Rattus norvegicus: one gene and its partners. The protein of the gene in region 6 interacts with the protein of the main gene of each other region in a biochemical or structural test. Links are inferred from orthologs where the notes say so. Each region holds a gene or a part of one and is shown on either strand. Other genes may lie near its edges.

Region 1 (4,000 bases), on a different chromosome or scaffold from region 6:
TACCATACAACATAAGATCAATTAGGAGAATATCAGGGGGTTGGGGATTTAGCTCAGTGGTAGAGCGCTTGCCTAGGAAGCACAAGGCCCTGGGTTCGGTCCCCAGCTCCGAAAAAAAGAACCAAAAAAAAAAAAAAAAAAGGAGAATATCAGTAATTATTACATTTAAGTTGAGATACTAAAAGAGTATCCCTCAAGGTACACTGCCATCTGTTCTAAAATTTAAAATGTACAATTTGCAGCTATACAAGGGACAGTTATATCAAATTTGGAATAATTATGACTTGGTTATTTCTTTCATTTGGAAATTAAGCAAGACAGAAAAGATAGGAATGCATGTCAAGTAGAGCTAAGGAAAAACTCAGGAAATTACATTTGGTACCTGAGAGACACATGAAGTAGAGTAAGATCTGTAAATAGCAGGAAGCCACTGCAGTATTCATTCCCCTCTTTGAGGTGACTCTAATAACTTAGACTTTCTCCAATACCTGTCACATGCTGCAAGCATGTTTTAATAAAGGCCCGAAGTCAATAATATAATCCACTTCCACAAATAAGAGAGTAATTTACTTAGCTGTATCACCCAACATTATCCTTCCTAGGTTTCTCCAAGCTCTTACACCTTCCAGCATCGCCTAGGAACTTCATGTTTCACAGAACTTGAGTGTCCTCCTCTTGCTAGCATTACTCTTTACAATCACCTTTCTGTGTTCACATTTTTAAAACGTACTTGTGTGAGGATACTCGCTTGCCATGATGCGCATACCGGGCTAAGGGACAGCTCTGTGACTCAGCTCTCTCCTTCCACGCTTGCGTGGGTCTGGGGACCACACTTTCCCTCCTCATCACCACTTAGCCCTTCTCCACACTCTAAAATCCAGAGTTTGGCCGTTAACCGTACATACATTCACTGTACCATCCCAGCTTATTCTTCTATCCTCAAGAAGAAACTCTGGATTTAAGTAGGTGCCTTTAATTAATTATACTATCTTTTCAATTTCAAAGTCCTGAGCAAATTTCACCTCTATGAAGTCACCTCACCTTAAATCTAAATCAGTCCTCAATTCTTTCTTAGAATAGCTTAGAAATAAACGGGGCAGTAAAATATCTTTTAAAGTGTCTAGATATGTTTTCAATTAACACTTGTATCATTTGATGATATTATTAGGAAAATTAAAGCAAATTATAAAATAATGCATTTTAATTGAAAAAGAGAACACTTGGGGATCAGTGTCTTTTTCTTTAAGGCAGGGTCTTGCTACAGCTCAGTTTGGCTTGGAATCAAGGTCCTCTTTCCTTAGAGGATTAGGGGCGTGTATCTCTCCCGTCTAGCGCTACTTGGGTGTCTTTAAAGTATATGTTAAACAACTAGACTTAATTACAAAAAAACCCCAAAAAAACAGAATTAATGTAGAATGAAGGTAAATACACTTTGCACCCTGCGGAAGGAACAGTGATGATACAAATTCCCTCAAATAAAACCTCAATCTCTTTCCTTGGTAATTCCAGTTTTTTGGTTTTTTGTTTTTTTAAGTGCTACAGCATCAGATTCTGAGATTTCTACCCTTTCGATCTATTTTAAGGATTATTCCAAAGGCTGAAGGCCAGTTAGCTGACAGATGCAGGAGCTACAAAAACCTTAAATGGTGTACATGAATTTCGAGAAAGTAGTAGTCATGGCTATCTTCAGAAACTCAAGATAGTCTATATATTTTAACGTCGTTAATAAGAATTTTGCACTAGTATTACAGTCAACTAAAGTGACAAAACTATGTATGTGTGGGCTTGGGGGTGGTGGTGATTTAAACAATGCAAGCACTACTAAATGTCTAAATAAAATGCATCCTTTCATCCAACCCAGATCCTGACATTGGCCTTCCAATCCGAATGTCTTCTGGTTCAGAATGAGAAAAGGGAGTATCCCTTACCCCCACCCCCAAATTTCAATCTTTGACCGACCCTCCGCAGGTCAGGTTCCGAGCCCGAAAAGGGCAGGAGCTCGCCTACCTGGGCGCTGGTTCGATTAAGGTGGTAGTATCCAGGTAGTGGATCTTGTAGAACTCCAGCAAGGCCGGCAAATGGTCAAACTCCTGGTCCCCGATCTTAAAGCGGCGGTTGGGCAGGGAGTTGATGATGTAGTGCGAGACACGCGAGTTCTCGGACACGGACAGTACATAGTCCCCAGGGCAGGTAGATGAGTCCCGGACTAGGAACATGCCATGGCGCTGGCCCTGGAGACGGGTCTGCGCCTCCTGGCGAGACACTGGCCCCATGTACCAGGCAGAACGGTCTGAAGAATCAAACCTGGCGGAGGACATGGTGTTGGGCCCGGGGATGGGCGGCGTCTGCTGCTCTCGCTTGCTCTGGAAGCCTTTACCCGCTGTCGGCTTTGGGGTCGAGGAAGGGCCTCTTCTCGAACACTTCGAGGAACAATCAGAGGGCTTGGTCAGGACGTTCCTCTAGGCTCCGGGCCCCGCAGCATCCTCCGCCACCGCCCTCCTGCACAGGGCCGCCTCTCGGAGAGAGCCGGTCCGGGAACAGTGGGCAAAACCCCTGGGTCGAGGTGGGCGAAACAGAGCAGTAGCAGAGGCCGCCTCGGGCTTCTCAGCTGTCCGGAGTAGGATCCAGCGACTTCTGTCCTGGAAGCCGCCGGCTCCGCAGCCTCAAGAGCCCGCACGGTTCCTCGCCGTCACACGAAGCACCGCACTCCAACAACAGTCGCGCCTCCCGGACCGTCCTACCCTACCCGTTCCCAATAGCCACAGCAACAAAATGGCGGACGCGGGAGAAGCGACCGGGCACCTCCCCCTTGGTCCAGCGTACTCTATCTGCGCTTGCGCGGAGCTGGGCGCTACCCCCACCGCAGGGGCTCTTCCTTTGACGTCACTGGGCGCGGCCAATCAGGAGTGCGTTCGCGAGGGTTCCAGCCTAAGCCACTCGTGCGGGCTCCCGCGTTCCGGGAGGAGGCAGAGGGTCAAGCCCTTCCTGGATCGCAAAGCAGCCTCTGAGTGGCTGCTGCTGTAAGGCCTACCGGGCTTAGCAGGAAAACAACTGGACCCGAGAGGGAACAGCGTTTTGAAAACCTGTTTCTGGGAACAAAGCATAGCGTGATGGCTGGATGTCTGGACAGGGAGGCGTGGCCCTCAGGTGATTTTTAAGCCTGAAGGCCCTGATAAGTCAGGTGGCTTAGGAAGGGCATGACCTAGGCAGTGAGTTGACCATCAAATAGGTTACTGAATAACGCCTACCCTAAGTGATCCTACTTGGTACACGTGGAATGATGGTGAAGGTCAGTTTGACTAATGCTTTAAGACGAGGACAGTGTGATGATGGTGACTTGGCCACTTCAGGCTCTGAGATGTAGCAAGAGAAATGCAACACTTGTATCTGGCTTGCAGGTTTTGCCTGCTCCAGACCTTTGGTCTCTCTCCAAAAGTTCATTTCCTGCCATTCAGCCGTTCCAGCTGTGCCTTCCCAACATGTTTTCTCTCTCCAACAACACTAGGACCGATCTCTCTATCTATCTATCTTTCTTTCTTTCTTTCTTTCTTTCTTTCTTTCTTTATTTATTTATTTATTTATTTATCTATCAACCAATCAAGATAGGAATTCTCTGTGTGCCCCTGGCTATCCAGGAACTAACTATAAACCAGGCTGGCTTCAAATTCACATCTACTGGGCTCTGCCTTCCCTGTGCTTGAATTAAAGATGTGAGCCACCACTAACAGGACAGGATGAAATTTTATTACAACAGGAATACTGTCTTATTTTGCCCGCCTTAAAACCACATCTAGTCTTGAATGATCAGAAAATTGTTAAACGAATGACCATTGTGAAAAATCTACAAAAAACTGATGCTGGATTATTGGTCACAGCATTCCCAAATTAGATGAACAGGAAGGCATGTCCCAGACCAGTGATGGTGGCACTACCAGTAATCCCAACACTGGGGAGATGGCAGTAGGAGGACCATGAGTTCAAGGCCAGCTGAGCTATATGA
Region 2 (4,121 bases), on a different chromosome or scaffold from region 6:
TCAGAATTTGTGATATCCTGGCCTAAGGAATAATTATAAAGTAAATACACATATGTATTTATATACATGTGCAGTATCCATGAATATTTACATATAGTATTTTATAATCTTAGATTAGTGAATTGCAAATTCGTTACTTTATTTGTGACGGGGCAAGACAGTGCAGAGGTTCCTGTATCTTCTGGTCTTGATGAGGGCATTTCAGGTTTAATTGGAATTTGATCTCCTTGATGGACAATCCATGGAAAATTACCAAAACATGTTCTAGGACCCCAAGGTCAAGGTGCCCTAGGGAGTTTATCTTAGCATCTGTTAAACTGCCTCCTCTGGTGAAACCCAACTGAAGCTTCAAAAATCCAGTGTTCTGGACACACATACTCGGGTTACAATTGGGTCCCAAATGCCTGAGAGTAGTTCCAGTTGACTGGAATACAGACTTTCAATTGACTATAGACTGTATCAGAGTGGTTATCCTTGGGAGCCTTCCTGTAAGCAAAGCCTCAGTGCTGTCTTAAGTGAAGCAAGAGGCTGAGACCTGAGGGATTTGCTTCTGAGGAGAAAGGCAATCCTGGAAGGAAAAGAGCCAGAAAAGGAGTGCACAAATTCTGCCACTCACCTTGTGGTGAACCCCTCTAGCGTGAAGGTAGAAGGGAACCTGACAGAAGCTCAGTCAGAGGATAACTGTCCAAAGGTGCAGAGCATATATGCACAGTAACTTCCTATGTGCATGGAGAACCAGAGGTCCTCCACAGTGGGGGTGCCTGACAAACACTCCTTGGTGAGGAGGCCAGCAGGAAAGGGGACACTGAGAATGGCCCATTCTTCTGTGGGCTCCCACCTGAAATCCTACAACCCCAGTCTAATCTCCAAGAAGAACATCAGATAAAAAACGGCTGATAAGCATTGCAAAAATGCCTGGTCACAACTCAAAACCTCAAGGTCACTAAAGCAACACATGTCTGAAATATGATCTGAGTCTAGAAGAACCCAAGGGGATGCAATAATTAAACACAGTGTGTTATTCCAGATGAGAGATGGGAAAATACAAAGACAGAAAAAGGTGAGGAAATACAAATAAAGATAGGACCTCAGTAAAAATGAACAAACAGTACATCCGTAATAATGATTAAGTTATTAAAAATAACACTGGAGACAAGACCTAAGGAGATGGCTCGGGGGTAAATGGCTACTTTTACAGAAGATCAGAGTTCAAATCCTAGTACACATGGGACATCTCAAAAAGTCCCCAACTCCACCTCCAAGGGATCTGAGGTCCTCTCTGACAGAGACTATGGAGAGGACAGAGACTGTGGAGAGGACAGCATCTGAGGAGAGGTCAGTATCTGTAAAGAGGACAGAGTATGTGGGGAGGACAGAATCTGTGGGGAAGGCAGAGTCTGTGGAGAGGACAATGTCTGTGGAGAGGACAGCGTGTGTGGAGAGGATAGTGTGTGTGGAGAGGACAGTGTCTGTTGAGAGGACAGTGTCTGACAAGAGAACAGAGAATGTGGAGAGGACAGTGTCTGTGAGGAGGGCAGAGTCTGTGGAGAGGACAGTGTGTGTGGAGAGGGCAGTGTCTGTGGAGAGGACAGTGTCTGACAAGAGAACAGAGAATGTGGAGAGGACAGTGTCTGTGAGGAGGGCAGAGTCTGTGGAGAGGACAGTGTGTGTGGAGAGGGCAGTGTCTGTGGAGAGGACAGTGTCTGACAAGAGAACAGAGAATGTGGAGAGGACAGTGTCTGCAAAGAGGGCAACATCTGTGGAGAGGGCAGCGTCTGTGCAGAGGACAGTGCCTGTGGACAGGATAGCATTTGCTGAGAGCAGATATACAGGAGGCGAAAATGAGTGGAGAGTAGGAGATATACTAGGGTTTGATTAGCTGATATCCAATGAACCTTTATGTGTTGTCACCACTTGGAAATTCAAGAGAGCTTGTAAGTCACATGTCCTGCCTTCCCATTCCTCCCTGGTCCAGTTAGAAGTGCTTTGAACCTCATGTGGCTATATTCATGTCTCCTCATGCTCTCAGCTTCCCAGGCTGGAGACAGACCACAGATTAGGACTCTGAACCCCTCTGGTAGGTGAGAGAGTTAGTGTCCCAGGAAAGAGCAGCCCCTAGAATTTCACCATGGCTCTAACACTTCTTTATGTCCACCTGACTATGCACTGGCCTCCCTTTCTCCCTTGGCTTTCTAATTTTCCTCATTTCTGGGATGAATTCCTCCATTTCCTTCCTTAATCTCTGACTAGCACTATGAGAGATGAAGAATGGGAGGTAGGGAATGCAATTAAGAATGTATCTAACAAGAGGCCGATGCCATGGCTGTAATCCTGGCCTCAGGAACTGCTTCCTGGACTTGACATTTACCTCTGCCCTCCTTGTGACCTCTGTAACTGTGGTTCACAGTTACTCTCCTTCCATCAATCTTAAGTCAAGTAGGAAATAATAATAGTAATTACTTCATACAGTGGTCATGATAATTAAAGAAATTAATACAAGGAAAGTACAATTCTGTAAATTTTAATCATTATTTACTTTTACTAGAATCCCACCATGTCTTAGAAGTAATTGTGTTTCCACGTCGAATATGCAGTACTGATGTTTGGATAACTGTAGCCATTTCTTCTCCCGGAGTTCCATGCACTATGCTGTGGAGTGCCTAGCAATTGATCTCAAGTGATGGTGGTGTCCTGATAGCGCTATCTTTGGCTCAGATACAGCTTTCTATTTTCGAAGTGCTTGTACGGACATTATCTCAGTTAATCTTCACAGGAGCATGGCGAGATAATTGGGACAGCATTTACTATTCCCACCTACAAGATGAGTAAAGAGGAAGAGGGGCTTGCTTACTATTTACAAGGAGGGCAGAAACAGGCATCCCAGGGCTCCCAATCTCTTGCTTTTGCAAGCTTAACTTTTACACTGAACTGTTAGCCCTGGCCACAGAGGACGAAGGAGAGAGAGTAGCTCTTCCACCTCCAAAGGCTCATGTACCCTCCCAATAAATCCAGTATGCCTAAAACCATGTTCATGGTTGGTATGTTCAGAGACCTCTCCCTCTTGTCTGGTGTCTGTGTGCACCACTGCAGGTTGACCAAGAGAACAATTTATACTGTTAGTTATGGAGAAGTCTCAATAGCCTACAGCAGAGTTCTTTACCTTTACAGTAAGGTTAAGATTGGCATTAGAGAGAGTCATTTTCTCTCAGACTATTTTGTGTTATTTGGGTTGGGTTATTCTGAATTCAAACAGAAAAACAGGGGATCAGTGAATTACCACTATCATCTTCAGACAGTCTCAGACAGACCAGAACTAAGGCTACTGTTAATAATAATAATAATAATAATAATAATAATAATAATAATAATAATAAATAATTGTGATATTTTATCCAGGAAGCAAAACTCTTGGCAAAGTTCCTTTCCTTACCTAGCCTGCCTTTGCTCCACCTTCCACCCTCTTTCGTGTACCCATCCTTTCTCTTCCCCTATCCTCGCTCTCGATCGTCTACTGTACATCCTTCCACCCATCATCTGTTCATCTATACATCTTCTACCTTCCACGCTCCACCTCCCATCTCCTACCCTGCACCTACTCACCCTCCGTCCACACATCTGTCCTCTCCCCATACAGCAAATCACTCACTCACTCATCGGAACTCTTAGCCACTGAGGAATAACATCGCAAACATAACAAAGAAGGTATTCAGATACTTTTTATGGCAAATTATCTCTGATTGGTAGGACAATTTAAAAGCAATTAGTTCTACTAATCATGTCAAAAGGAAAGCATTTTCTACAAACTGCTACAGTCAAATATATAGTTCCAAGGCTTTGATATAATACCTAAAGTAAGATAAACTTAGTTACAAGTTTATTATATAAATATAATATACTTACATATAAATATAAAATATAAAAATACGTAAATATTAGTATTATTTAACAAATGTGTGTTAAATGTATAGTATTTCATTTTTCCCAATATTTTCTAAATATATCAGATTTAATCAAGACTTCTAAATGCTAGGCTAGCATACAAACTAAATGAACTGTAAACTTTCTGAGATCTGTTTGGTACACCTCCTAGAAAGTGAGTAAGTAAATAACTTATTTTAGCA
Region 3 (3,500 bases), on a different chromosome or scaffold from region 6:
CTTATTTTCCCGATTTTGAGCCTGTTTCTGTAGCTTTGACCGTGTGGATGCATGTGGGAATGGGGAGCTATGTGTGCATAAGTGTACATGCCTGAAGAGACCGGAAGATGACAATGGAGAACTTCAAACCCTGAATTACAGGAGTAATTAAATCTGGATGCTGGGAACCCAAGTCCTCTCTACAAGAGCAGTGCCCACTGTGAAGTGCTAGGCTGCCCTCCACCCATGACCCATGAGCACATCACTTCTATAAACCACAAAGGACTGGGCAGGGACTTGGCACTTAGGAGGACTGGCTGCAGAGCCAGGAACACAGGTTTAAGCCCAATCACCCACACCGTGGTCAAGGTTGTAACTCCAGCTCCATGGTCTCTGATGCCCTCTTCCCAGCTTCTTCATGCACCAGTGAAATAGGAGGTGTACATGCATGCACACACACAAGCAAAAGCTCACACACGTTTAATAATAAGCACTATGATATGACATGTATACCTGCTGAGGCTGAAGATCACAAATTATAGTATTTATGTTGTTTAAAATCTCATCAATAAACGGCATTACTTCTCCAACTTGAACCTGAACAAAATGTCTACGGCATTTTTGAGCTATTTTAATAAATGTGTCACAAGCCATGTCCTGGACTCCATCATGGGTTTCTGGCAAAGTAAAAACATTCATTCATTCACTTTTGGTTCAACATAACAAATAAAAAGTAAAATTAGATACCATGAGTTTATTAGGTGAGACTTACCATGCATGAATTCGAAAAGCTTGTTTACTACTGTCTTCAAAAATTTCCAGTGTGCTCTCAGAAACCGTGGGTACTGGCCTACTATGTACATGATATTCGATGCAATGATGGCTTTATTATCCTTGCCTCTCTTCTGCTCACATAATCCTAAGAGGTCCTTGATAACAGTGACAAGGAACCGCTTCTCATCCTCCTCGTGCATCGCCCCACTGATGGAGCCTATTGCCCAGCACAGTGTATTCAAATTTTTCCATGACCATTCTGTACCATTCACTTGATTTTGAAGTTTCTTAGTCATTATTATTTCCGTATCTACATAATCCAGATGGGTAAGATAAACTACAAAAACCAAGAGAAAAATGCAGATGTTTCACATGAAAACAAAATTTTTTCTGCTAAGGTTTAAGAGCATACTGGTAAGCATATGGTTTCTAAAGGAGTCAGGTAAATGTAGAACTTGGACCAAACATTTACTTTTCACAAATATGGCAAAAAAGTATAAAAATTGTCATTTATTTACTTACCTAATGTTTCTCTCATATTCTTATACAAATTTATGGAATCAGTATCCTTCATGAACTCTCTTACAACTTCTCCCTGATCATTTTCTACAACCAGTACCTCCTCTGGTTTAGCCATGCGACTAACCATCAATAAACGAACCTATTGATCAATAAACCAGTAAAGGAACTGTGTTAAGACATTTAGAAGCCACATCAAATATAGGTCAACAGGACTGTGGATCCCTCCCCTATTTAGAGGCTAAGACTGGCTACCAAGTTGGAAATAAAACTTTCAATTAAGGCATAGCCAGCCATACACGCTGGTGAAAACCTGGGAGGCAGATCCACGAAGACCAAGAGGTCAAGGTCAGTCTCAACTAATTAAGACCTACCTACACTTTCAATTGCAAAATGCTTGGTTCTGTGATGCAAGTCTGTAATCTCAGCAGTGGGAAGGCTTTCTAATCTCAAAATTTACTCTTTTGGTTTTTCTGGATAGCCTTGGTTGTTCTCAAACTCGAGATCCACATCCTCTGCCTCCTGAGTGCTAGTATTAAAGGTCATCACCCCGTTTGATCTGTGTTTTTGATCCTATCAATAAACAGTCAACTTCTAATCTATAGACTTCATGTTTTATTGAATGACTAGATCGGGGATAGCCAATGAACAACATACACTTTAGTAAATCCAAATGATGCAAGGATGTTAGCTTAAAAAACATCCTTCTAAAACATTCTTGACAACTGGAAAACCTCTCAAGTTCTCTTCCCAACACTTTAGGCATCAAAGCTATAGTAAGGCTGGAGAGCGCTCACCACCGGTTAGTTCATCATTACCTTGGATAACACGGTCAAGTACAGCTGTCTCCGAGGAGGAATATCAAAGTGCTGACTTCCAGATAACAATGGAGAAGCAGATGTAGAAAATGGACTCTCTCTGTAGAGCTCAGCTGCCAAGTGATTCCAGTACTCAAGACAGATTTTAAAAATTTCAGTTTCTTCCACTTCAGACACCAACAACATGTAATGAAGAGCCTACACATTAAGACCAAAGGAATTAGTATTATCACAAAATTTTCAAATTGCTTCCCCAAACTTAGTAAGAATTAGAAACTAATATTCTGAATCTAGGCACATACATGCCTTTAATCCCATCCCAGCACTTGGGAGGTAGAGAGCCAGGTGGAGGTCAGTCTTGTCTACAGTGTGAGCTCTAGGACAGCCAGCCAGAGCTACAGAGGAAGCCTTGTCTCAAAAAGCAAAACCAAAAAACTATTATTTGAAATACATAAGGAGGGTGCTGGAGAGATGGCTCAGTGGTTAAGAGCACCGACTGCTCTTCCAGAGGTCCTGAGTTCAAATCCCAGCAACCCCATGGTGGCTCACAACCATCTGTAATGAGATCTGATGTCCTCTTCTGGTGTGTTAGAAGACAGCTACAGTGTACTCATATACAAAATAAAATAAAATAAAATAAAAAAATAAATAAATAAATCTTTGAAATACATAAGGAATTTCATTCCTCGAACAGACTGAAAACTGGCAGCAAATTTTTTTCTAACATGCCCTCCAATGTTTCCAGAGTACGTAACAATACAGACTCTTCACACAGCTACGCCCTATAGCTCTGGTGCCAGCTCATAGGAAGGCACAAACTGCACGCCATGCTCAGGAAACCACAAGTTTGAAGTCAGCTACAAGGCCATATGGTGGCAGATGATGGTAAAGCAGAGACTAGAGTCACAGAACTTTGAGAGTGGATGGTTATATATAACCCAATTTCACTCACACCACTACTTTGAGGACTTTGTCTCAACAAAATAAAATACTATAAAGGCTCAGTAAACACAAAACATGAACACGTTCAAAATGAAATATCGGGCTGGAGAGATGGCTCAGCGGTTAAGAGCATTGACTGCTCTTCCAGAGGTCATGAGTTCAAATCCCAGCAACCACATGGTGGCTCACAACCATCTGTAACATCTTCTGGTGTGTCTGAAGACAGTGACAGTGTACTCATCATATATAAAATGAATAAATAAAATCTTAAAAAAAATGAAATATCATATAACAATGAAGAGCATAGTAATGTCAGGGTTGGGGATTTCGCTCAGTGGACTAGCAAGTGGAAGGCCCTGGGTTCGGTCCCCAGCTCCGAAAAAAAGAAAGAGAAAAAGAAAAAATAAAAGAACATAGTAATGTCACAACATACTAAGGTTGGGGATTTAGCTCAGTTGTAGAGCGCTT
Region 4 (3,973 bases), on a different chromosome or scaffold from region 6:
TTCTACCCTTCTAGGACCCTGACCCTGCATTTACACTCGGAGGGTCCTTGGGGCAGCTGGCACCGCACACAGGATTAACGTTTCTCTGCAAAGGCAGGGGGTTACTTACTGCTGGACTCCTCTGCTCTCCTTGGGATCTGTATAACCAACCGGCCCTGACGCTGACCTGGCCAAGCAAGACCGTTGTCTCCATCCCTGAGCAGCCCACCCCTCCCCAAAGAGTAACTTCTCAGTGTCCCCCACAAGAAGACAGGCCTCATCCAGAGTCAAAGCAGCAACCCTCCTGACTAAACCCTGGTCCTTGGCCACTGAGTCATGAGCCAGGCCCCGCTGCAGGAGGGACTCCTGCCAGAGACATGTTGGGTCTTGCCCATCCTAACTGCCACTGGGGAGTTGGCTTCCCAGGCTTTCTCAGGGCCATTCCTGGTGTCTGCCTCTCAGATCCCAAGGACTGGAATAAAATTGGACCTGGATATGACTGCTGTGTGGTTGTTGTATCTTACAAGGGAATCAAGGCTTTTGTGGGGAGCACCTAAGACAGACTTCTGGGGTCCCTACAGTTTGAGACATTAGTTCTTAGAGAAAAGCCTGAGGAAGGAAGTTGGGACCAGGGCAGGCAAACAGTCGAAGCACGTGGCCTCGGGTGGGGAAGGGGCTTCTGCACATTTCTGGAGGTCAGGTCATGTCTGCACCTGCCCCAAACACTTGGCAAATTGGCAAGGCGGGCTAGCTAGCAGGGTCTGTGTGTGGGAGACAGCTAGCAGCAGCACCATGTGCTGTCGACCTCACAGCCACACGCCCCCTCTGCTTAGCAGTGAGTGTCAGAACCACCCCCAGAACCTCAGTTAAGCAAAGAGCTTAGTTTCCATGGAGACACAGCATCCTTTCTCCATAGCAACCTGAAATCACAAAACCCAAGTTAGATTCAGGAATGAGTCATCTGCAACCAGTAGGGGGTGCTCTCCCACAAGGCTGACCCCGCCTTCAAGGCTGGAACAGATGAGCCAGTGACCACAGACTTCTTAAGGTGACCCAGGGGTGCGGCTTGGGCCTGTGGGAACTTGGTTGGCCGTGTTTAACCCCTCCCTATCCCACTGCATAGTGTGAGGAGGCTACAGGAAGTGCTGTGTGGAGGTGCTCCTCCCACAGCGGGGGCCCTGATAGACTCTAGTGTGGAAGCCTCTGCCATTCAAGACTGGGCCAAGAGCAAAAGAAGTGGACACTGGCTACATGGAGTGGACATACAAGAGTTAACTGGCGGGGTGTGACCGGGCGAACCGCCTTCAGGAAGTGTTACTCACCGCCAGGAATGTGCACGCCTGTGCCTTGGGGGTTGGATTCTCTTCCTGAGTCCCAGGAGAAGCTGAAGGAGCTCCCAGCCATGGAAGACCCTGGTGAGACCGAAGCACACCCTCTGGGAGCCACCAGCCTGAACTTTGTACCTGGGTACCAACAGGAAGAAAAGTTAGTAAAGTCGGGAGATCAGCCAGGTGCAGGGGGTGAGGGCAGTTATAGGAAGATCTGGCAAGGACAGGAGAGATGGGAAGCCCCAAATGGGAAGAGGTGTTCACCCAAGACCCCTACTCAAGTCTGGGTGTCTGCCCCCAGGCCATCTCCAGACCCACTGTATGACACACCTGATGCCAGAGGGGTTCAGGCAGGCGGGTCCCAACAACCAGCACGCACAGTGAGCTTGCGGGAGCGGCTGCTGATCACCCGGCCTGTGTGGTTACAGCTGCGGGCCAACGCTGCAGCCGCACTGCACGTGCTGAGGACAGAGCCTCCGGGGGTGAGTCTCTCCCGTTCCTAAAGGTCTAGCCGGACAAGACTGGGAGGGAAAGGGCCTGGACGTGGAGATCCTGAGCCTCCTAATCTTGATCACTCGCAGACCTTCCTGGTGCGGAAATCTAACACTCGCCAGTGCCAGACTCTATGTGTGCGGCTGCCAGAAGCTAGTGGCCCCTCTTTTGTCTCCAGCCACTATCTCCAAGAGAGTCCTGGCGGTGAGGAGGGTGGCCTAGAGGGAAGGGGCTGGAAGACAGGCAGGGGAGGGAGGTTCCCAGAGAACGGCCTCACTCCCAATGTCTCTCAGGCATCTCTTTGGAGGGCTCAGAGCTCACATTCCCGGACCTGGTCCAGCTCATCTGTGCATACTGTCATACCAGGTGAGCCTGCCAGCAGGGCACCTGGTGACCCCTGGGCCTGCCTCCAGGGACTGCCCACCCTCTGCATCTGAGCACCACTCTCTCTTGACTGCACTTTGCTCTGACCTTAGGGACATTCTTCTCCTCCCTCTCCGACTCCCCAGAGCCATTCATCAGGCAGCCACCCACAAAGAGCTGGAGGCCATCTCCCATCTGGGCATGGGTAAGGGTCCCCTGCAGCCTGTTACACAGATGGACACATAGAAGCCAAATGGGGGGAAGAAAGAACAACCAAGATTTTTCTTTGTGGGTACTCTCCAGAGCCAGCTCTGAGGTCCCCATTGGTTTCTGATTGCTAGAGTTCTGGAGTTCCTCTCTCAACACCAAGAACCAACAGAGACCTTCAGAAGCTCCGCAGATACCCCGGCTGAAGGCTCGCTCCCCTCAAGAGCTGGATCAGGGCACTGGTGCAGCCCTCTGCTTCTTCAACCCCCTCTTCCCCGGGGATCTGGGCCCCACCAAACGTGAGAAATTCAAGAGGAGTTTCAAAGTGCGTGTATCCACAGAGACCTCCAGCCCTCTGTCTCCACCTGCTGTGCCGCCTCCTCCAGTCCCCGTTCTGCCAGGGACATCTTCCAGCCAAACGGAAAGACTGCCCCCTCGACAGCTGCTGCAGAGGGAGAGCTCAGTGGGATACCGTGTGCCAGGAAGTGCTTCTGGTCCTAGTCTTCCTCCCCTACCTTCACTTCAGGAGGTGGACTGCTGCTCCCCCAGCAGCTCAGAGGAGGAGGGTTCTTCAGGAAGCCCTACAACCTCCCCACGCCTAAGCCGCCCAAGGCACCGGCGGCCTCTGCTTCGGTCCATGAGTTCTGCTTTCTGCTCTCTGCTGGCACCAGAGAGGCAGGTGGGCCGGGCAGCTACAATGCTAATGCACAACCGATACACAGCTGTGGGTCAGCTAGTGCAGGACCTATTGACCCAGGTTCGTGTTGGTCCTGAGTCCCGGGAGTTGCAGGGCATCCGACAGGCCCTGAGTCGGGCACGGGCCATGCTGAGTGCAGAGCTGGGCCCTGAGAAACTGCTACCACCAGAGCGGCTGGGTAAGGCCGAGCCCTGGCCTGCACCGGTTCATGTCCCTGGCTCTCCATCCTCCCCTGTCTCCCTCTCTCCTTGACTTTGGTACCTAATGACTGCTGCTTACCCTGCACCCCACCCCCACCCCTTCTCACTACTGGTGCAGGGAATTCCATCTTCTCCTCCTCACCCTTCTCCCTATCTCCTGTCTTGGCGAGGGACTCCTGCTTTTCCAGGCTTCTTTCCCCTGACAGCAACAACTCTCTTCTTGCAGAATTGGTCCTGGAGAAATCCCTGCATCGCTCTGTTCTCAAGCCTCTTCGACCCATTCTAGCTGCCCGCCTGCGGCGCCGACTTTCCACAGACGGTTCCCTTGGCCGCCTAGCTGAGGGCTTCCGCCTGGCCCGGACCCAGGGGCCTGGAGCCTTCGGGTCCCACCTGAACCTTTCTTCCCCAGTGGAGATAGAACCAGTGCGTCAGAAGCTGCTGCAGCTCCTTCGTGCCTACTCGCCTAGTGCCCAGATCAAGTGGCTCCTGCAGGCCTGCAAGTTGCTATACACAGCCCTGAAAACCCAGGCAGGTATGACCCCCTTACCCCAACCACTTCCCCCAGCTCCACTCTTTCAAAGTAGAGGCTGTGCACTACCCACTTCCACAGCAAGCCGGTTCCAGAACCCCAGAGCTGCAAGCAGCATAGAAGGATCCAATCCTCTATTCCAGGAACTCTAGAGAACATTGTCTTTCTTCCCTGTAAC
Region 5 (3,500 bases), on a different chromosome or scaffold from region 6:
GGGTCATGATTAGCATGGGCACCCAGAATTGATGGAAGAGTAGGTATCATGACTGACTGCAAAGGAATGAGGATTTCACTAAATGTTGGGTCTTCTACCAGCTTTTTAAGCATTTTAAAGTGAGTGCTCATGCTCAATGTAGAATTACTTCCATCAACCTAAAAACAAACAAACAAACAAACAAACAAACAAACAGCATATTTCAATTTTTCTGAGTTAACCTTAAATTACAGAACTTTAATTACATTAAACATTTTACTTTCACAACCTCAATTATTCAACAGTGTGCAATGTCCTAAGTATCTTTAATCTTCTCATTTAAATCTTTTACCTTATAAATAATGTGCCTCTATCACAGGAGTATTTAATGACCAGAGGAGATAGTAGAAACCAGAGATCTATTATCAGGAAAATCTGTAGATAACTCTTTTTGGTTACCAAACCTCATTTAACAACAAGATGATACTGAATTTCTTTTTTTTTTTTTTCTTTTCTTTTCTTTTTTTTTGGAGCTGGGGACCGAACCCAGGGCCTTGCGCTTCCTAGGCAAGCACTCTACCACTGAGCTAAATCCCCAACCCCGATACTGAATTTCTTAATGTAAAGATGAATGCTATGTGTGTTTGATTATTGGATATTCTGATACATTACCATCAGTTAGAATAGTCAATGTAAGTATGAATACTTTTAAAATGAGAAAAAAATTGAATTCCTAAGTGTAGTTAGGATAAAAAAACTAAGGTTTCAGATAAAGAACTAAGCACCTGAACATGTAAAGCACTTATAGGGCCAGCATCCAATAAGTACATTTTTCCTAGTGTTAAGTACATCGGAGGTCAAATACAATTAATGGAAATAATGAAAGGTTATGCTTTTGAGAATAGGTTATTCATGAAAGGAAGGGAAAAAATAGGGTAACCTTTATCTTTTTACCTAGAAATGGTTACTGGATTTTGATTGTCAAATGAAGCGGTTTACCTGATGAAGAACCTTTCCCTTTAATAATCACCCCATATACTTTGATCTCTTACATTTAGCTTCCCCCCCAATCCTAACATAGAACAGTGATTTACTGCTTTATCTACCTTCCTACTTCAGTCACAAGCATATTGAAAATAATTACTACTACTCCAGATGATAGCCACTGCTTACTTCCTTACAAATGTACCAGCAATTCCAGACAGATTTCTACTAGTCATCTTTGTTCCTTCATCACAATGCCTATGCATTGAAATATACCTTGAAAAAATGAAAATCAAGGGTTCATGAATCAAGTACTTGCCTACTATGGATAAAGTCTTGGGTTTGATATCTAACACTATTTAAAGGCAATCAATTAACCAAGAAAAAAACTCTCCATTCATTTTCCTATCTGATACGTAGACTGACATGCAAGTTTTCAAAACTTAAGGATATGACAATATAATCAAAGACTCTTTTAATGCATTTTAAATATATTTTATATTTATTTATATTATTTTATATAGTTGATTTAATATTTTTTACTTAAAACTACTGATAACTATTAAAATATACTTTCAGGGAAATTCAGAAACATTGAGGATATATGAAAGGGGGACATATGTTACAAATTAAAACAACAGAATTATTAAGGTAAATCATACAGGGGGTAGAGGTATATCTCAGTGGTAAAGCCCTTGTTTAGCAAGATTAGGTTTCTGGTTCAATCTCTAGCATATGAAGAAGAGGGGTCGGGGAAAAAGATACAAAGATATATATTTAAAATATACCATTTGATATATTTTGGTATGTGTATACTGATGTACTTAAAACTTTAATGAAACATAACAGCATAACTCACAAACCAGTTTCTATATAACTCTTCTGTATATTATCTCTCATGGCTTGCTGTGCACTAAGATCTGAACGTACCGATTTGTTGCATAACTCTAGTAGCTTGTCTGTTAGGCGAGTTGCATCTCCGACAAACTTTTCTAAAGACTTTTTCATATGGATAGCTTTGGTAAGAATTTCCTTGCATCTGTTCACACGCATGGGATAAGAAGACTGTCAATCAAAAAAGGGGTGGGGATTAAATACAATTCTATAGGAAAGCTGATTGGCAAGAATCAATTTAAAAGACTATTTAAGATGTGAGTTTATAACATAAGCGTCTAGGAAATCAATTTGATAACACCATTTTAATCATACAGCCTGTGAATACTTTTGATAGGATCTTCATTGATGAAACAATCCAATATTTTGAGACGTAGCACAACAGAACAGAAGGAAAATAAAACAAAACTTTAATGAACTAATGGTTAGCTATTTTTATAATTTTGTCCAATTACAAAAATGTGTTGTCAAAGAATATTATATAATTTATCTAATACTAAAGTTATTTAATCATCTAATATTTAAGTAAAAATATAATTGTCAACTTAATTAAAATTTACTGTTAAAATAGGATTAGAAAAGTACATAAAAAGTTACAAGAAAAAGTAACAGTCTGAATTTTAATTTTCCTTTTATCTTTATACTAACTTTTCTATAATATTTACTCATTAAATATACTAATCAACTTGTATATGCCCGCTAATAGATTTTCAAGATCTTGGAATAAAACACTTAAAACTTCACATGGCTGGAGTGATGGCTCAGTGATTAAGAGCACTTGCTTTCACAGAGGAACTGGGTTCAACTCCCAGCACTCTGATGGCAATTTATAACTGTTCTTAACTGCAGTTCCAGCGAGTCAACACTTCCTCTCCTGACGCCTGAGCACCAGGCATGCAAATGGTGCATAGCCATACATCCAAGTAAAACACGCATACACATAAAAATAATCTTTTAAAAAGTGGCTATATTATAAATATTTATTAAAAACTTCACAAAGACAGTACTACTCAAGTCTTTACTCTTCACATATTGGTAACTTCATTTCATATGATAAGTATCTCAAAATATTTAAACTCTATATTTTTCTCTCTATAGGAAAATTACTAACAATATAGGCCAGGACCCTGGAATTTGTATTTATATACTTGCTTTAAACATACTTGACACAGGGTTGGGGATTTAGCTCAGTGGTAGCAAGCACAAGGCCCTGGGTTTGGTCCCCAGCTTCGAAAAAAAGAAAAGAAAACAACAACAACAACAACAACAACAACAAAAAAAAAAAAACTTGACACAGTAAGTGGCTAACTAATGATTACCTTTGACACAGCAGTCATCATCCACATTGCTTGCTGAGGATAGGCCAGAAAGACCTTGGCTATTATTTCCATCAAGACAACAAAAACTTCATCATGAGAATGACAAATTCGAGAGATCAACTGCGAAAAAGCAGTCAAAAACTGATATGGTGCTAACCGATTTGTGTGCTCTGTGAGTACACTATTTATTTTTGCCAAATCATTTCTCATTTGCAGACGATCAGAACGACCACCTAAGGGCAAGTTTAAGGCAGGAAAAACAAACAACATCAGTATTTCAATTCATTTCACAGAAAAAATAACCCTGATAAAACAGCTTTAAAA
Region 6 (3,500 bases):
TAGTGTTTTGTGGTGTCACTCTGAGTTCTTTGTTGACACATTCCTGTGTTCCAGTATACTGTGCTTCTTCTCCTCATCTCTGGCCGTCTCCTTCCTTGTCCTTTGACAGTACCCTGTAGTCTTCCACAATATCTGTGCTCCAGGGAACAAGATAGTCCGGGCTTCTTCCCTGTCTTAGGTCTCAATCACCTGTTTTTCTAAGGAATCCTGGTTCTTAGTGGGAAGAAGGATGCCACGACTTTGACAGTTCACAAGATTTTTACAAACTGTTGCAGCTGGAAGGGACCTTGGAAGTAATCTCACCTTCAAACAACCCACGGCCCGACAGGCATGTGGCTACAGTCACAGAGCTATGCTCAGAACATGGCAGCTGACTTAGAGCCCTATGCTGCCTACCCGAGGGGGACCCTGTGCCCCAGGAGGCTCACCTTCCCCTCTCTCCCTTGCATGCTTTAGAGTAGCTTGAGTAAACAGCTTTGCTCTGTCCTACCTCTCCTAGGCTATTACCATGGAGAGCCTGGTAACTGTCAATGCTGGGACTGCTCTGCAGGTCTCTCTGCTGCACAGCGTGGAAAATGCCTGTATGTCCTGTGTGTGTTGGGGGCGGGGTGTGTGTTTGGGTGTTTTGGTATGTATGTGTGTGATATGTCTGTTTGGTTGTGTGCATGCTATGGCACACATGTGACTGTCAGAGCACAACTCTGTGGACAACTTCTCTCCTTCCACCTTTATGCCGGGTTTCAGGATTGAAAGGTCATTAGCTTTGTGCAGATGCTACCTCACTGGCCAATGCTCACACACCCTGATAGTCTTCCTCTCCCTCTTTCTTTCAGCATTTGGAGTATTGCTCTGGGAAATTGCTACCTATGGCATGTCACCTTACCCGGGAATTGACCTGTCTCAGGTTTATGAGCTGCTGGAAAAAGACTACCGCATGGAGCGCCCGGAAGGCTGCCCAGAGAAAGTCTACGAACTCATGCGAGCATGTGAGCCTCCCCAACCCATTCAGCACTACTCTGAGGAAATTGCACAAAGCCATTCCAGTGGGCCCTGGCACTCTGTCCCTGTGTTCCCAAGCCATCCATGCAGTGTGACTTTGAGTCTTCCGTGCGCTTATTCCCAGATGTAGTACCTCTGGGTTGGTTTTGTCTCCCTCTGGGACAGCTAGTTTTGGTTTTTGTTTGGTTTTTGTTTTGGATCAGGGTCTTGAACTATGTAGCCCTGACTACACAGTGACTCTCCTGCTTGAACCACACAAGCTCGAGGACTACAGGTATGAGTCACCATGCCCAGGTCGCTTTAAGTTCTTTAAGCATAGAGAGGGTTAGATGTCAACCTGGGTATTATTAGTACAGATCCCTAGGTCCTGCTTCCAAATACCTGGCTACAAATCGCTCCAGATGATAGAACTCTGGTGTTTGTATTGTGCGAGTGTATGAGCGCATCTGTGTGGTGTGCATGTGTGCACATGGCTGTATCATGTGTTCATGTGATCATTCCCTCACCTTTTTTTCCTAGCATATAGTGCTGCTGTCTGTATACTTAGATCTTCCTCACCATGTTCCCTACCTTCATTAATGCTGCTGTCTAGCATTTCAGTTAACAGTTTGAAGCATCCACTCATATTTTACACACTTGTTTGCTTTAATTATATTTTTATTATTTATTTTGTTTGTTTGTTTATGGGGCATGCATTCTACAGTGTACAGTTTTGAAGAGCTGATTCTCTTTTTCTACTGTGTGGATCCCAGTGGTCAAACTTAGCATCAGTCTTGGCAGAGTGTGCCATTTTGTGGCCCTGTGTTTGCTGCTGCGTATAAGGCAGACACACACGATTAGCCTCGTCTCTACATGTAGCACGATATTCCTAAAAGCTGGGCCGTAGGTCCAAAGAATCTGTGCTGTGATAACAAACCAGTGATGTTGCAGACGGTTGTGAGTCCCATGGGTACTGGGAACTGAACCTGGGTCCTGTGCAAGAGCAGCAAGGCTCTGAGCTGCTGAGCCACCTCTCCAAGCCCTAGTCCTTTTAGTCTCGTTGTCATGCTATTGGTGATACAGGCTGTGGTCTCAGTGCAAGGTAAGCTGAGGCAGGAGTATTGCTTGTCAAACAGCCCAGACAGTAATGAGGTCTAATCTCAAAGAAGCAAGAGAGATGCTCGTCTGTGCTAATGGGGACGGTAGACACTGATAGCATCAGTAAGGATGGTGACCGAGGCAGGCTGTTGCCTTGTTAACTCCCTGTCTATCACTGGGGTTTGGAGAAATGTTTATAGATGTGGTTTTTATTATCGGTGTCTCTGGGATTTTGCAAACAGTATTACTGCCTGTATATGATGTCTTCTTAATTCTTAGTGTCTGTCAGAGGACACAGGAGTTTTTGCCATTAGCCTGTCCCAGCCTCAGCCATCAGCAGGCTTGGAATGCCTCTTTCATGTCCAGACTGCTCCTTGGGTGTGGCTAGTTCTGGTTTGTTAGCGATGCTCTCCGGCTGCTCTGACGTGGCCTTCTCTGTCCAGGTTGGCAGTGGAACCCCTCTGATCGGCCCTCCTTTGCTGAAATCCATCAAGCCTTTGAAACCATGTTCCAGGAGTCCAGCATCTCAGACGGTAACATGCCTCCCAGGGGCCTGCAGTGGGTTGAGGGTTGGGTTGAGGCTGGACAAGCCTTCACTTCAGACCTGGTACCAGACAGCACTCTTCAGAGGCTTTGGTGGTGGCTCTGTGTCTGTCAGGTGCAGGCATGCAGAGTTCTAGAACATGCCAAGAGCTGTTTCTTCTGCTTTGTGTTCCTTTTCTCTAACTGCATAAATCTTAAGAAAAAGAGAATCCCAGGAACTGGAGAGCTAGCATGGTGGCTAAGAGGACTTGGGGTCAGTTCTCAGCACCCAGATGATGGTAACCCACGACACTAGTCACAGAGGATCCATTACCAGCTTCTGGCCTCTGCACCCATGTGGTACACAGACATACCTGCAGGCAAAATGCCATACACATAAAAAAAGTAACTTTAAAATAAATTAGAAAAAGAGCAAAGAAAAAAGAATCCCTTGCAATCTGGCATCTTTGCTGATGACTACTGGGTTATGTTTATGTGGTCCTTAGAGGTGGAGAAGGAGCTGGGGAAACGAGGCATGAGAGGAGCCGCCGGGAGCACCCTGCAGGCCCCAGAGCTGCCCACCAAGACCAGAACCTGCAGGAAAACCGCTGAGCAGAAAGATGCACCTGACGCCCTGGAACTGCTCCACACGAAGGGCCTGGGCGAAAGCGGTACGTCCGCCCTTCCCATCCCTCACCCCTCAAACCAGGCAGGCAAGCAGAAGCCGTCAGTGGGCCTGGCACAGAGGGCATCAGTCCCTCCTCAGTGGTCCAGCCCAGGGAAGAAGATTTGCCTCTTGCCCAGGGGAGCCTTTCAGCAGTTGCTTAGACAAGCTGAAAACTGGGACTCCTGCCAAGAAAGCACATCCACCTTTGCTGTGCTCTTCACAGCCCTGTGGGCAT
Region 7 (4,159 bases), on a different chromosome or scaffold from region 6:
AAGGGAATCACCCACTGTATGTTTTTATTCCGTTCACATCCAGCAGTAAATAAGGTGCATTCCTTCTGCTTAAGAAATTAGCATTTCAAAAATATGCCACTTCCCCCTGAACTCCAAGCGTGTCTAATAATGCGAGAAGCAGATTGTCTTCCCTCGTTTCCTTAATTTGTTTCATCTAAAAGCAATTCACTCAACATCTTGTCGCCCTCTGGCAGCTTAGTTTACTTATCCGCACTTAATTTCTCATTTGGACCAAAACAAACTCCTCCAAACTGCTGCCGACTGCTAACCGCGAGAGAGGAGACGCGCGCTATGTATTTACTTGGATAGACAGCCACACACGCACAGGCGCAAACACAGAGCCTCGCTCTCACCAGACAGCGTCTTGTTTTTATAATAGCACTACATTAAAACCAGCTGAACTTTCTCTGCCAGGTGCGGTGGAGGCGCCTGGAAAAAAAAGAAGTCCCTGGGGGCACAGACAGTTTCCAATAGATCACCTAAGTATGCTTGTTGCAATTATACCAGGGATGCACCCGAGAGCTTTTCTTTGTGCGGCCCTTTCATCTAGATCACTTTGTGTTTTGAACAAGTGAGTCTCTCTTTTGTGTCCCCAGAATTTCAAGTACAGAGTCACACACACACACACACACACACACACACACACACACACACACACACGAAACAACAATGGCACGCTAATCCTTGTGCTTCTAAATGGGCTCACTTGTGGGTCTGACAATTCGCCCAGGGAAAGGAGCAGAGAGAGCTAAGGAGCAAGCTGGTGTCGTCTGAGACGCGGAAGGGGACAGCTACAGAACTAATTTGGATTACATTCCTTGCCTAAATTCTGAAAAGGGCTCTTCGGCATAGCCCAACCGGGAGCTGTAGAGTTAATACCAATTGCTGTGGACTTGAGGGGGGATCTCCCAGCGGCCCAGGCCATGCCAGACAGCCCCCTGGTAGGGTGGCCTGATAGAAATTCCTCTCGGCTAAGCCTGCATGACAGTTGCGAGTGTCTTTGAATGGGTCAATGTGCATAATCAACCCATTGAAGGGAAAGGCAAGGGGCTCCGAGTGGGAAGCTAGAAAGGGATGTATCTAGGCGGCCGCCTGGAATCTCAAGTCCTTGCTGCCGCTCTGATTCCAGAGGTGGCTGGAGCGCAGGATCTGGAATGCACGAAGAATCTCGGAGTCACTGGGAGTATGCAAACGGCCAGCACAAATGGCGAGCTTGTGCCACTCGAAGGTCATTTTGAACAGCTCAGAGATTGTAACTTGTTATTTACTAGGCGAGGAGGAAGAGGCGGGAGCGGGGGCGGAGCGGGAAAACTAGCAAGCAGCCGCTTTCTCGGTGAGGTCAGAAGGACACCCTCTAGGGACCTAAAGCTCTCCCTGTCGCCACTGCTGAACGCTTTATCTTCTCAAGCTGACTCCCACGTTCCCGCCACCAGCCCCGGAAGGTTCCGGAAATCTCTCTGCCTTCTCCAAAAGCCCTCTTCTCGCCCCTCTCAGCCGGGTCAGACACACCGGTTCTCCTTAGTCCTTTCGTGTCCCCTCCTCTCATCCGGGAGAAACTCCCAAGAGTCAAAAAACTTTGAGCTCCTCTACGTCTCAGCCGCTGTCATTGGCCTTGGCGGCCCCAGCACGCCAGCGACTCTGTGCTGCCTCTCGGGGTCAATTAGTCGTTTTTCTGTCCAAATACCTAGGGCTTGGGCGATCGGGCCAACAGTGGCGGCACTCAGGAAGCCGCCACCCGGCCCGCCTCGGGCTAAGTCAATGAGTGCCACCCGCGGGCTCTGCAGCCTGGCGGGGCAGTAAACAGAAGTTCAGGCCAACCCCAAGTTGCACTACTGGAAGAACTCTTCCCGGAGCCAAGACCAGCACCGGGAGGGAAGGCCGGGCTCCGGGCTCAGTATGCCAGGATTTTTTTTTTCTTAAGAGATCTTGCTGGCAGGCGAGCCAGCCCCCCCCCCCTTCTCGCCCCAAGTCAATCGAAAGACAGCCCCGAGATGCCAACCAAGAAGGCCCAGAGTCCCTGGCCTCTGGCCGAGGCGCGCACCCGGTGCGCTCCAGCTGCCCGGATAGGGCTGAGCGTCCGATGTGACCCCGCAGGGTACGGGAGACTCGGGCCGGCGGCCGCGTGCCAGCTTGCTCAGGTGCCAACCCCGCTCCCCAGCCGCGCTCCGCCGCAGCCCTGCACCCCGGGAAGGCCAGCCAGGCTCAGCCCGGGAACCTCCTGGCGGCCCGAAGAGGTGCAGAGATTCTCCGGTTTGGTTTGATTATTTTTCCCTTCCCAGCCGGAGGAGGAGGGAACCTCCACTGACGGGGCTTAGGTCTCCCACGCCCCGAACAACGGGCGCCACCAGAAGCGATCCCGCTTAGGCTCCCAGAAAACGCGCCAGAAAGAAAGAAGGGGGCTAAAGAGAGGGCGAGAGGGGGGACAATAATACAGAGGGAGGCAAGAAAGAGGAGTCATTTGTAGCATCAATAAAAACACACGCACGCACGCACACACAAAGGTAAGTTTGGGATGGAGCAAGGGGCGACCCAAGCCAGAAGCAAGGTCCCTACGGTCCCTCAAGCCGGAGGGTGACAGAGGAACGAGGGGAGAAGGGAGCCACCGGAGGCGGTGGCGGGTTCAACAGCTGGAGCGCGACTGGGAACCGCGAGACCGCGACCCACCTGACTGAGAAGCGCTGGGCTGGACGGTCCTGGCTGCCACCAGAAGGCTCCCCCAGACCCACAGTCCCGTCGCCAGCTTCATTTTTGGCAAGTCTCAGATCCCGCGCTGACAATTACATGTCCAAATACCATAGCCACTTGCGGGCACGCGGAGGAGATCTCCCCCCCTCAGCCGGGAGCGCGTGGGGGGCGCGAGGGGGGCGGGCGCGGCGCGCTCTGTGCACGGGCTTCCCGGGGTTGGCGAGCCAGTCGGCGCTGGTGGCGGCTTCCAGGACCCGGGGACCCGCGGACCCAGCAAGGGGCCGCGAAGGAGGGCGCGCGGATGGGAGTGTGCGCGACTGTGCGGCTGGTGCTCCGAGCACAACCGTACAGCTAGTTTCCGGAGTGATCCTCTGCTCGCCCGTTCACTCCTCACTTTCTCGCTCGCTCTCTCTCCTTCTCACTGGTTGGTCAACAATAAAAAGAAAGAGGGGGAATAAAGGCTTCCAAAAAAAGTTGATTGCGAAGAGGCGGCAGGGTTCCGGCCTCTCCCCCCAAAACCAGGCTATGTTCAGCTCTCTCTTCAGTCTCCTTGCATCTCCTGTCCAAATCTGGAGGGAAAAGGAGGGGGGGTGCTTCTTTCCTTCTCCCCGATCCTGTGCCCCTTTTTTTCCACTGTCAGCTTTCCTCACACTTGTCCAGCCATTGCAGTAATTAAAGCTCCGAGCGTCATTTCCAACGCTCCGCGGTCTCCAGCCGCAGCCCCACAGAGAAATTAATAAGACTCAGGGAGAAAGATTTTTTAAAAAAGAAAAGAAAAGAAAAGAAAGAAAAAAAGAGGGGAGTGGGGGTGGGAATCAAACAACCCTCCACGCAACCAGCCAGGCTTTCCTCCGCTGCGCAAGCCCCGCCCCTGCTCTGACCCATGTAGCCACGCCCTCCCCCTAAGGAGAAATCTTATTGGCTCAGACACTCCCCAAAATCCACTGCCCCTAGAGTTGGGAAAACACCTGTCAGGCAGTGGGAGCACGGTGTTGGTAGGGGCTCCTAGGGGAAGCAGGATCTGAGAGGCTCAGTGGAGACCACAGTCTGAAACGCTCCCCTTGCGACTGCCCTGGCAGAGGCCCTGGACAGCTGGCCCGCCGAGAAGTCAGTCCACCAGAGGGAATGCTTGCTGAAGGAATTTTTGACACAAGAACAGGACATTTTCTTTATTGCTCCAAGGCATCAGTCCACACGCACGACTTTCCCTAGAAATAGAAAGTCAGTGTTGCTTTGGGAAAAAAAATATCTCGGTCCCTCTCCATCACCCCAGAACGTTCCGTGCTTAGTACTTTAAAATGGATATTGCAGGTAGCTGGTAGCCTTGCAGGTAAAATAAAACCTGCCAACAGTTCTTGTCTTCCCAAATAAGACGCCGTCTCTCCCACCTTCCCAAGATGACATTGAGCCAAACTTAAAAACCCATATTTGTGAAACCACATCCTTTGACTCT

The links.
Region 1: the proteins of Abl1 (region 6) and Crkl form a complex in vitro, tested with the Homo sapiens proteins (4 studies listed by BioGRID and IntAct, with this or other methods). The link is inferred for Rattus norvegicus from reciprocal best matches to the Homo sapiens genes ABL1 and CRKL.
Region 2: the proteins of Abl1 (region 6) and Prkn form a complex in vitro, tested with the Homo sapiens proteins (2 studies listed by BioGRID, with this or other methods). The link is inferred for Rattus norvegicus from reciprocal best matches to the Homo sapiens genes ABL1 and PRKN.
Region 3: the proteins of Abl1 (region 6) and Xpo1 interact in a test that uses a peptide from one of them, tested with the Homo sapiens proteins (2 studies listed by BioGRID). The link is inferred for Rattus norvegicus from reciprocal best matches to the Homo sapiens genes ABL1 and XPO1.
Region 4: of the proteins of Abl1 (region 6) and Rin1, one has a biochemical effect on the other in vitro, tested with the Homo sapiens proteins (2 studies listed by BioGRID and IntAct, with this or other methods). The link is inferred for Rattus norvegicus from reciprocal best matches to the Homo sapiens genes ABL1 and RIN1.
Region 5: of the proteins of Abl1 (region 6) and Atr, one has a biochemical effect on the other in vitro, tested with the Homo sapiens proteins (2 studies listed by BioGRID, with this or other methods). The link is inferred for Rattus norvegicus from reciprocal best matches to the Homo sapiens genes ABL1 and ATR.
Region 7: the proteins of Abl1 (region 6) and Erbb4 form a complex in vitro, tested with the Homo sapiens proteins (2 studies listed by BioGRID and IntAct, with this or other methods). The link is inferred for Rattus norvegicus from reciprocal best matches to the Homo sapiens genes ABL1 and ERBB4.

What each region holds. Positions count from the first base shown.
Region 1 is NC_086029.1:97,064,658-97,068,657, forward strand, and holds the start of Crkl (crk-like protein), read right to left. Parts: upstream 2,801-4,000; 5' UTR 2,319-2,800; coding exon 2,008-2,318; intron 1-2,007. UniProt on the Homo sapiens protein: May mediate the transduction of intracellular signals.
Region 2 is NC_086019.1:52,212,932-52,217,052, forward strand, and holds the start of Prkn (E3 ubiquitin-protein ligase parkin), read right to left. Parts: upstream 2,801-4,121; 5' UTR 2,642-2,800; coding exon 2,554-2,641; intron 1-2,553. UniProt on the Homo sapiens protein: Functions within a multiprotein E3 ubiquitin ligase complex, catalyzing the covalent attachment of ubiquitin moieties onto substrate proteins. Substrates include SYT11 and VDAC1.
Region 3 is NC_086032.1:101,461,950-101,465,449, reverse strand, and holds part of Xpo1 (exportin-1), read right to left. Parts: intron 2,289-3,500; coding exon 2,091-2,288; intron 1,415-2,090; coding exon 1,276-1,414; intron 1,091-1,275; coding exon 752-1,090; intron 657-751; coding exon 493-656; intron 1-492. UniProt on the Homo sapiens protein: Mediates the nuclear export of cellular proteins (cargos) bearing a leucine-rich nuclear export signal (NES) and of RNAs.
Region 4 is NC_086019.1:211,783,934-211,787,906, forward strand, and holds the start of Rin1 (ras and Rab interactor 1), read left to right. Parts: upstream 1-1,173; 5' UTR 1,174-1,309; coding exon 1,310-1,464; intron 1,465-1,608; coding exon 1,609-1,789; intron 1,790-1,888; coding exon 1,889-2,003; intron 2,004-2,092; coding exon 2,093-2,165; intron 2,166-2,275; coding exon 2,276-2,367; intron 2,368-2,503; coding exon 2,504-3,244; intron 3,245-3,492; coding exon 3,493-3,798; intron 3,799-3,973. UniProt on the Homo sapiens protein: Ras effector protein, which may serve as an inhibitory modulator of neuronal plasticity in aversive memory formation. Can affect Ras signaling at different levels. First, by competing with RAF1 protein for binding to activated Ras.
Region 5 is NC_086026.1:105,379,322-105,382,821, reverse strand, and holds part of Atr (serine/threonine-protein kinase ATR), read right to left. Parts: intron 3,410-3,500; coding exon 3,177-3,409; intron 2,029-3,176; coding exon 1,894-2,028; intron 159-1,893; coding exon 1-158. UniProt on the Homo sapiens protein: Serine/threonine protein kinase which activates checkpoint signaling upon genotoxic stresses such as ionizing radiation (IR), ultraviolet light (UV), or DNA replication stalling, thereby acting as a DNA damage sensor.
Region 6 is NC_086021.1:35,471,587-35,475,086, forward strand, and holds part of Abl1 (tyrosine-protein kinase ABL1), read left to right. Parts: intron 1-833; coding exon 834-986; intron 987-2,519; coding exon 2,520-2,609; intron 2,610-3,104; coding exon 3,105-3,269; intron 3,270-3,500. UniProt on the Homo sapiens protein: Non-receptor tyrosine-protein kinase that plays a role in many key processes linked to cell growth and survival such as cytoskeleton remodeling in response to extracellular stimuli, cell motility and adhesion, receptor endocytosis, autophagy, DNA damage response and apoptosis.
Region 7 is NC_086027.1:78,042,807-78,046,965, forward strand, and holds the start of Erbb4 (receptor tyrosine-protein kinase erbB-4 precursor), read right to left. Parts: upstream 2,801-4,159; 5' UTR 2,768-2,800; coding exon 2,686-2,767; intron 1-2,685. UniProt on the Homo sapiens protein: Tyrosine-protein kinase that plays an essential role as cell surface receptor for neuregulins and EGF family members and regulates development of the heart, the central nervous system and the mammary gland, gene transcription, cell proliferation, differentiation, migration and apoptosis.